Kluyveromyces lactis: one gene and its partner. The protein of the gene in region 2 binds, or shares a complex with, the protein of the main gene of each other region. Links are inferred from orthologs where the notes say so. Each region holds a gene or a part of one and is shown on either strand. Other genes may lie near its edges. The genes, in order: HDA2 and HDA1.

Region 1 (4,137 bases), on a different chromosome or scaffold from region 2:
AGGATCAAGTTCGAACGTGTTGTATTTGTATGAATATCCTAAAAAAAAGCGCTTCTGCAATCCTTCAATGAAACTCATCTTTCCCATTATCAGAAAACTTGTATCAAAATCAAGTTCAGAGTTTAACAGTAGCCAAGATTAAAGTGTTATTATTTTGTGGGAGTCAGCTCAATACAACGCAATGGTAAGAAAAAAAAAAGAACTGTATACCCTTAGTTTCTGCTTTCAATTTGAGAGCAAGACATAAAATCTACTAAAAGTTCTTATTTTCTACCCTATATGCAAAATACCAGACGAATCAGTAAAGGTCTTTAAAATCCGAAAAGTACGAAAAAAAAAGCTCAAATTCTATGTTCCAGTTTCAACTGAATATGGTTATGCCGATCCGTTACTGCCGCAGTTAGGGTGGTCATGTCGAAATTAGAATGAACAAGTCACTATTGACTCACATAATACAAACTGGTCTATATAGAGGAGTAATTGCGCTAGTGTTACAATTTTGCAAGCAAGCTTGTGTTTACCAGAATCTGACAGGCTTTCAGATATCAGTATATTGCATGCAGTAGTTGAGAGATGGTTTGGTCTGGATGTATCCTAGAAGGAGTAATACTTATGTGTACGTAGGAGAAGTAGCCCTGGTAGTTCTTGTAGTGTACCTTGACGAGTTGTTCGTTGCCGGAGATGATTTTTTTGCAGGTTCGTTTTCAATGTTGTATTGGCCTTGTATTCGGTTCATGTATTGTATTAGGAATTGAGACTGCTGTACCATTTTGCGTAAGGAAGATTTGAGTTGTGCTTCTTTTTCTTGCAATATAATAAGTTCCCACTTGGTGAAAGGTCCATTCAATTGGCGTTCCAACTCCTCTTTCTCAGCTTTCAGAGCTGAAGTCTTTAGCACTTCTGAAGCAGCCTCAGACGATTTTTGTTGGTAGCTAGATCTCAAATCGTCATTCTTAAAGGACTCTTCATCGTTACTCTTCTTGAAGGAAGAAACTTCATCTGATAGCTTGGTATGTTGTTGCTTCTGATTTTCAATTTCTTTTGCAATATCTTCGAGAGTTAAGAGCCTTACAAGCTCGGATTTGCGTTCAACCAAGCTCTTTAGACGTTCTTCTAAAACTTCCAACTCAGATCTTGTTCTTTCAACGCGTTTTTCAGAGTCGTTGATTTTGGTTTCATTTTCTTTGAGTTTTTTGAAATGTTGTCCGATATTCACCTTCAAATCATCAAAGTCATTTAACCTTTTAGTTTCTTTCAATCTGGTCTTGAGGACTAGTTTTTCACGCTCTTCATATTCTACATGGCATTGTTTGAGTCGTTCTGCCGTGAGTGTTTTTAAAATATACTGATAATTTTTAATGTCCATTGGTCCTGATTGTAGCCTTAATTCATATTTTCCGTAAGTTAGAGGCATCAATTCCATTGGGTTAGTTAGAAAAGGAATCAAATCATCATTATTTCTCGAACTTCCTGGATTTACACTTGGGAGAAATTCACCAGGGTCCGTCTCTTTGATCAATGAGTCAATAATATTTTCATATTGTTGTAAAGAAATAAGATCTTTGATATCGGCACGATACTTTAGAAAATGAACAATGGAATCCAAAATTAGCTTTTCGGAAGTAGTAGTTGGCTTCTTTTTGGATAACAAATAGTGATCCGGAGAATCTTGGACCAATAGCTTAAACAGAGGAGTTTTTCTGCCATTTTTCCTGACTTTGAATATCGATGGTAACGATTCGTCCAGCATTGGATCAAAACTGATGATAAGATCCAGATTGTACCTAGAAAGTAAATCTTCAGAGTGTGTCAAATGTGTGGTTGTTGCCAAAAACAACCAGTCAAGTTGAGATATGTTATTCTTACGTCTTGACTTAGAGTAGTTGTATTCATCTTTCGATTTTCCGATTTGCTCAGGAGCTACGCTACCAGAACTTGATGAATTTTCACCATTGGTTGTTCTTGAACCAGAAGTTTGATCGTCATATTCATGTTTTTCGTCAAACAAAGAAGTTCCAGATAACCTCTTCAACTTTGCAACTTTTCCCAACATGACGCCTTCAATCAAATCCAATTCTTTCACAGAATGTGAAATGATAGCAACTTGCAATGGCCTCGATTTGTCCTTACGATTCAATAAAAGATCAACCATTAGATTTAACTTGCCAAATTTATCGCTGGTGTATATCAACCTTTCAGTTGGTTCCATTAACAAAAACTGTCTAGGCATATAATGCTCAACTAACAGGCAAGGGTGATTCGAGACAGCTCTTATATTTTCGAAGAACCATTCAGTTAACTGAACATCTGTTAATGCAGTCATACTCAAGTCTCTTTTGAGATTTGTCCCTTTTTTTTCTAATTTAGATTGTAGTTCTGGCAGTAGACGTTTATCTACACATGAGACAAACGACTCTGCATGTATCGAGATTAAAATTTCCAACAAATCTTTCTGAACTTGAGTTAGGCCAACAGGTATATAAAATACCTGAGTCCGGTTGGAAGTGGAGTTCATCTTTCTTTCCCTAATGAAACGACCCAATGGCTCGCGCTTGCAGTTTCTCTTTCTTTTCCTCTGGACTCTGGCTTTTAATGTGCTATTCGGAAAGAATGGTTAGATTTAATTATATAGTATCTTTTAAAAAATGAAATATGTCATTTTTGAAAAGCGACAGATGGAGAAACCAAGGAATACGTACATAGTATCTTTTCCTGCCATACAATTGTTATTCAAAGGGGGAGCGATAGATTCGAAGGTTGCGACAGTAAATGGGGAACTATTCTAACCTTTTGGTTTTGGTTATATATATATAGAGTTCATGATATCTGTTGAGAGGTAAAATGAATGATTACATACTTTTCATGCAGTACTTTTTGATTTAAACAGTGCCATGTATTTATCAAGCGTGAGGTCATCAGAATGCAAAGAATGTTCTGCAGTTAAGCCTAGTCGTGCAATTACAAATCTATCCTGACTAGCACCTGGCTTGGTTTCTCGATACCAAGGCTTTGGAAATCGACTTCCATCGTGGTATATGGTATCAGCAGCTGCCTTCAAACTGTCAACTCTGCTATCTCCTACTGAAGTATCTCGTACCACAAGGACGTTACCACCATCTACCAATAAAGGTTCGGCATAATTAAGGATGTCAGTTGTATTTTGAATAAGCCCTGTGGTCGAATACACTTGGGGTCTAACCATCTTGAATATATGACTTAAAGGGGAATTCAGAATTGTCCAATGGTAGACGATCCACTCGTCAGGCGATGTATTTCTCTTCCTTAAGAGAGTTGATCTTTGCATAAAGTACGTTACTTCTTGTAAGGATTTAATGCCAGGAACATCGATGGCATTCAATGATTTAAGAAGTTTTACTATTTCTAACGTCCACCACCTTAGATCGTAATCATAAAACTTGCCTTGAAACAAGACAGCGAAAGATATTTTTTTCATTATGGATCCAGCCATTATATCCCAGTGGAAATTTTGGGTTAAAAGATGTTCACCTGGTAAGGTTGTACTGGGAATAAATTTCGTTTCTACAGAAACGTATTCTTGATTCAAGTGTTTATAGTAGCATTCCATTTGAAAGGAAAATTTATCTGGCATTTCTTGCAAGGCTTCAGCAGCGCTGCGAGATGTATCAACAGATAAACTTATCAAAATTGATGGTAGATTACTACTTGGCCCTTTGTAACGGAAGGTTCCAGACCCTCCAAAGCCCTTTGGAGTGTCAGATACATGTGTGTCCTTGTCTTTCAAGGATGAGACTGGACCAAAGATCCCATTCAGTAATAGCTTGTTAGAAGTTTTGATAACAATTCTGGTTATTTCATAACATCCTTTCCCTTGAATATACGCCTGCCAATCATATATGAAATTTCTATCATTGAAGGATTCGTATTGAATAAAGTTGTTCAAACAGGATCTCATCTCCCATATTCCGACCTGATCCATGGATGCGACGAATACCGTGCATGGAGCAAACTTTAAGGACTTACTCATTTTATTGTAAAATTCTCTAGAAGGTTTCCAATATTTCACATCCTTGTCTTCCTCTATATTTCTATGCTGCCTGATATGATTTTTTCGGTCCATTGAGATAACCTTACCTGGTGCTACTGTACAGGGTCCGA
Region 2 (4,092 bases):
TGCTCATGCGAAGTGATCTTATCACCTGGATGAATGCCAAACAAGTTTGGAATATACTCATCGTAATATATGCTCCCAGGAACGATTTGTTTCCAAGAGTTCACTCTTTGTGGGAATTTCTTGTTTAATTCAGCAAGAACATCGTCATATCTTTCCTTGACAAGGATAGGGTTAATTCTGATCCAACGAACCGGTGTAACATCTTCTCCATCATCGGTTTTGATTAACTGCGACAGACTGGTGACTTTAAGTTTAACTTTGAGCTTTGTCAACTCAGCCTTTAACCTAGTCTGATGCTTCAAAATGAAAGTTTTGATAGGATGCTTACCCATCTGAATCCGCTTCGATTTTGAAAGTAAAAGGTCGTGTACTAGGAGCCTTATGGTATCCTTATTGAACAGCGGTTTCCCTTTCTTTTTCGGTACGTCCTCCAAGATCCCGCTCTTCTTAATGATTTTATCTAGATATTCCCTATACTGCCATGTACTACTAACAATGGCATAAATGTGACGAGGATTTGTCTTCAGCTTATATCTTTTACAACTAGTAAGTACCAAGGTCTGTAACGAACCTGCAACTCTCTTGTCTTTAGAGAGCTCCTGTTCCACGAATTCCAATACCCAGGTTGCATCACGGTAGAATTCCATCTCGAATCACAATGAAGTTAAAATGAAAATCCAATGAAATAGCGCTGTATAGCTTGTACCACAGATCCAGCAAAATCAGTTCTAACACGTAACTATATTACGTCTATTCTATACCTCATCGCGATGAGCTCTTGTTACATGTTTCTTCATACGTATTATACATTTTCAATTTTCAGTACTTGAAGAGTCCGATGTTGAAAAATAATTTCTTTTCTATTGTCACCTCAGTTTGGTTTTCTGTAAATATTGGAACTTTAAAACATCAACAATTTCCTGCGCTCATGGAACCATATGTGAAACAGCTGATCTTCATACGGATCTTCTGAGTACCAGATCCTGTGCAAGACAGCTACGTCCATATAACCAAGGTCAATCAAACGATTCTGACGGTATCTGAACACAAAACAACTTTTTTGGCCAGTAAAATTTCGAGAGATAATCCGAACGAAGAGAGTTCTCTCACAGCTTTTCCGCCATTTTCAGTGGACTTTTAGCCTTTCCTCACGATTAGAAGGTAAAAAGGCGCTCTAGGGAATTAAGCGTGCATTGGAGTTACGTAATTTGTGGTTGTATCATTCATTTCTAGTAGACCGTTTCCCATTGAAAGCTAGTTACGGTATCCCTTTTGCCATTGCCTGTCATTCAACATTATCGTGGTTACCTTTCCATAATATATTCGGAACATGGAAAGTAAAAAACCGGCTGAAGAGCCGCTGGAAAGGCCCAGCATCAAGGAAATTAAAAATGAGGGTACTGCATATACTCTGCCCAGTAAAGATGAATCTCAACGGCCTGTCATTGTTCCACCAACGAAGCCAAAGATTAGATATAGTCTTTTGAAAACCGGGATCTGTTATGATGTGAGGATGCGTTATCATGCTAAGATCTTCACGTCTTACTTCGAATACATCGATCCACATCCAGAGGACCCCCGCCGTATCTACCGTGTTTACAAGATCCTAGCGGAGAATGGATTGATTCAGGACCCAACTTTGAGTGGTGCAGATTCGATCGGAGATCTAATGGTGAAGGTTCCCGTACGTGAAGCTGAAGAGGAAGAAATTTTGCAAGTCCATTCAAGACAGCATTTGGATTTCATATCACAGACAGAACAGCTCGAACGTGAAAGTTTACTCAAGGAGACTGAGGGTGGAGATTCCGTGTATTTCAATAATGACTCGTATCTTAGTGCCAAACTTTCATGCGGTGGTGCTATCGAAGCATGTAAGGCTGTCGTCGAGGGAAGAGTGAAAAACTCAATAGCTGTAGTAAGGCCACCTGGTCATCACGCTGAACCTGAAATTGCTGGTGGTTTTTGTTTGTTCAGTAACGTAGCCGTCGCTGCTGCAAATATGCTCAAATCGTATCCTGAAAGTGTTCGTAAAATCATGATCGTTGATTGGGATATCCATCATGGTAACGGAACTCAAAAGGCCTTCTATGACGATGATAGAGTTTTATATGTATCTCTTCACAGGTATCAATTAGGCAAGTATTACCCAGGTACTATCCATGGAAACTATGACCAAACCGGCGAAGGGAAAGGTGAAGGTTTCAATTGTAATATAACGTGGCCAACAGGCGGTGTTGGTGATGCTGAATACATGTGGGCTTTTGAACAAGTTATCATGCCAATGGGTCGCGAGTTTGAACCGGATTTGGTCCTTATTTCATCTGGTTTTGATGCAGCCGATGGTGACACTATCGGCCAATGCCATGTTACTCCTGCTTGTTACGGTCACATGACCCATATGCTACTTTCGTTGGCTAAAGGAAACTTGTGTGTTGTCTTAGAAGGTGGGTACAATTTGGATTCTATAGCTAAGTCGGCGCTTGGTGTTTGTAAGGTGTTGGTCGGAGAACCACCAGATGAATTGCCTGCTCCTAAAAAGCAACCAACTCCAGAGGCAAAAAAAATGATCGAAACAGTCATCAGAACGCAGTCAAAGTATTGGTCTTGCTTTAAGAACAGACATGGAAATGACGGGATCAATTTCAAGGATGCTATAACTTCAACATTGGACACAAGGAATTTCCCTTTACAAAATGCTATTAGAGAATACCAAGTTTCACAGCTCTCATCACAATTCAACTTTGTTCAACTTCCAATTCTTGATTTGAATTTACCAGCAAATACTATGCTATGCACCTCAGGTATCCAAGACTCTGAAACACTTGTGGTGATCGTGCATGACACACCAGAGATTTGGTCTGAACGTGACACACAGACAGGAATTATTGATCCTTCTAGTTCAATTATCGTCGACAATGCTTTGAAGATGATCAATTGGGCAATGGATAGAAGATATGGAATAATTGACATAAATATACCTCAAACACTCTTTGAACATGCCAACTACCCAGGTGTTGCGTCATCACAAGAGATTCTGATATATTTATGGGATAACTACTTGAAATTCTTCCAAAATCTACAAAAGGTGGCATTTATCGGCATTGGAGATGCCTACGGAGGCATTGTCCATTTATTAGGCCATAGGGATACCAGGTCAGTGGTAAAATGTGCAATATCATTTTTAGACAAAAAACCTCTTAAAGTAATGGTGCCATTAATTGACGAAACGTTAGGAGATTGGTATTTCAAGAATTCCTTGGTATTCACAAGTAGCACACATTCTTGTTGGGGTAGTACGGCCAACGAAAATAAGAAGTTAAGAAAGAAGTATGGTAGAGTTTTGAAGGCAGATTGTGACGGAATGACAAACATATTCGATGAACGTTTTGAAGAAGCAACTGATTTCATATTGGATTCTTTCGAAGAATGGAGTGAATCGGAATAATTAGAATATCATTATAAAGATATATGTAATTTTAAAAGTATTCTATAATGCACTTGGAAATCTTCTTTCAAACTCTTTCATTTCTTTTCGAGATTGGAAAGGGCTACCCACAGAATCTTGATCGGAATCCTGCTCTTTAACTTCGGATTTTGCTGGGCTTGTTCTGAAAGATTTTGCCTTTAGGTGTTTAGGCTTAGGTGGAAGATTTGGCTTCAAATGAGCTGGTTTGGGTGGCGGTGCTGGTTTGGATTTAGGAGCCTCATGCACAGGAGTGATCACTGTACTTGATTTACGATTTGCATTGGATTTATGGTGGTCAGATATATCGGTTTTCCTCCCAATATCAGTATATTTCCCGTATCCAGTGGCAGAAGAGCGATTGGGTATATCATCTGCATTGATTAGATCTTTAACGCGCTTCTGGATCGAAGATGAAGTTTTCAAGGAAGAGGATCTTCTCAGTGATGATTTTGGTTTCTCCTTTTGTATATCTTCGATCAATTCATAGTCATTATTTTCCGGAACGAAGGAAAACGAGCTGGTGGACCGCCTATGGGATTTGGTGTTAGAAGAAGTATTTTCAGGAATGGATTTGCCTGAAGTACTTCTATACTTTCTTGCTTCTAAAGATGATTTTCTGGAACTGC

The links.
Region 1: the proteins of HDA1 (region 2) and HDA2 are in contact, whole or in part, in a cryo-EM structure (PDB 6Z6O), measured with the Saccharomyces cerevisiae proteins. The link is inferred for Kluyveromyces lactis from reciprocal best matches to the Saccharomyces cerevisiae genes HDA1 and HDA2. Residues at the interface, in NP_014377.1 of Saccharomyces cerevisiae: Met48, Ile51, Leu56, Val64, Arg65, Arg67, Tyr68, Ala70, Phe73, Tyr76, Phe77, Tyr79, Ile80, Arg88, Tyr91, Thr107, Leu108, Ser109, Gly110, Pro122, Val123, Arg124, Glu147, Arg151, Asn167, Asn168, Asp169, Val189, Glu190, Gly191; in NP_010581.3 of Saccharomyces cerevisiae: Pro105, Thr106, Glu107, Asn124, Phe128, Gly160, Lys161, Lys162, Arg447, Leu448, Glu450, Thr451, Arg453, Gln454, Asn455, Asp458, Lys461, Val464, Gly465, Phe468, Lys469, Gln472, Asn557, Ser561, Asn564, Asp565, Arg568, Tyr571, Gln572, Ser575.

The regions. Positions count from the first base shown.
Region 1 is NC_006039.1:895,734-899,870, reverse strand, and holds HDA2 (Hda2p), read right to left. Parts: upstream 2,516-4,137; coding exon 611-2,515; downstream 1-610. Other genes in the region: sphinganine-1-phosphate aldolase DPL1, read right to left, coding at 1-87; GTPase-activating protein NEL1, read right to left, coding at 2,861-4,137. UniProt on the Saccharomyces cerevisiae protein: Required for activity of HDA1 histone deacetylase complex. The HDA1 histone deacetylase complex is responsible for the deacetylation of lysine residues on the N-terminal part of the core histones (H2A, H2B, H3 and H4).
Region 2 is NC_006041.1:752,718-756,809, forward strand, and holds HDA1 (histone deacetylase HDA1), read left to right. Parts: upstream 1-1,330; coding exon 1,331-3,445; downstream 3,446-4,092. Other genes in the region: rRNA (cytosine-C5-)-methyltransferase RCM1, read right to left, coding at 1-647; KLLA0_E08405g (Ark/Prk/Nak family serine/threonine-protein kinase), read right to left, coding at 3,488-4,092. UniProt on the Saccharomyces cerevisiae protein: Responsible for the deacetylation of lysine residues on the N-terminal part of the core histones (H2A, H2B, H3 and H4).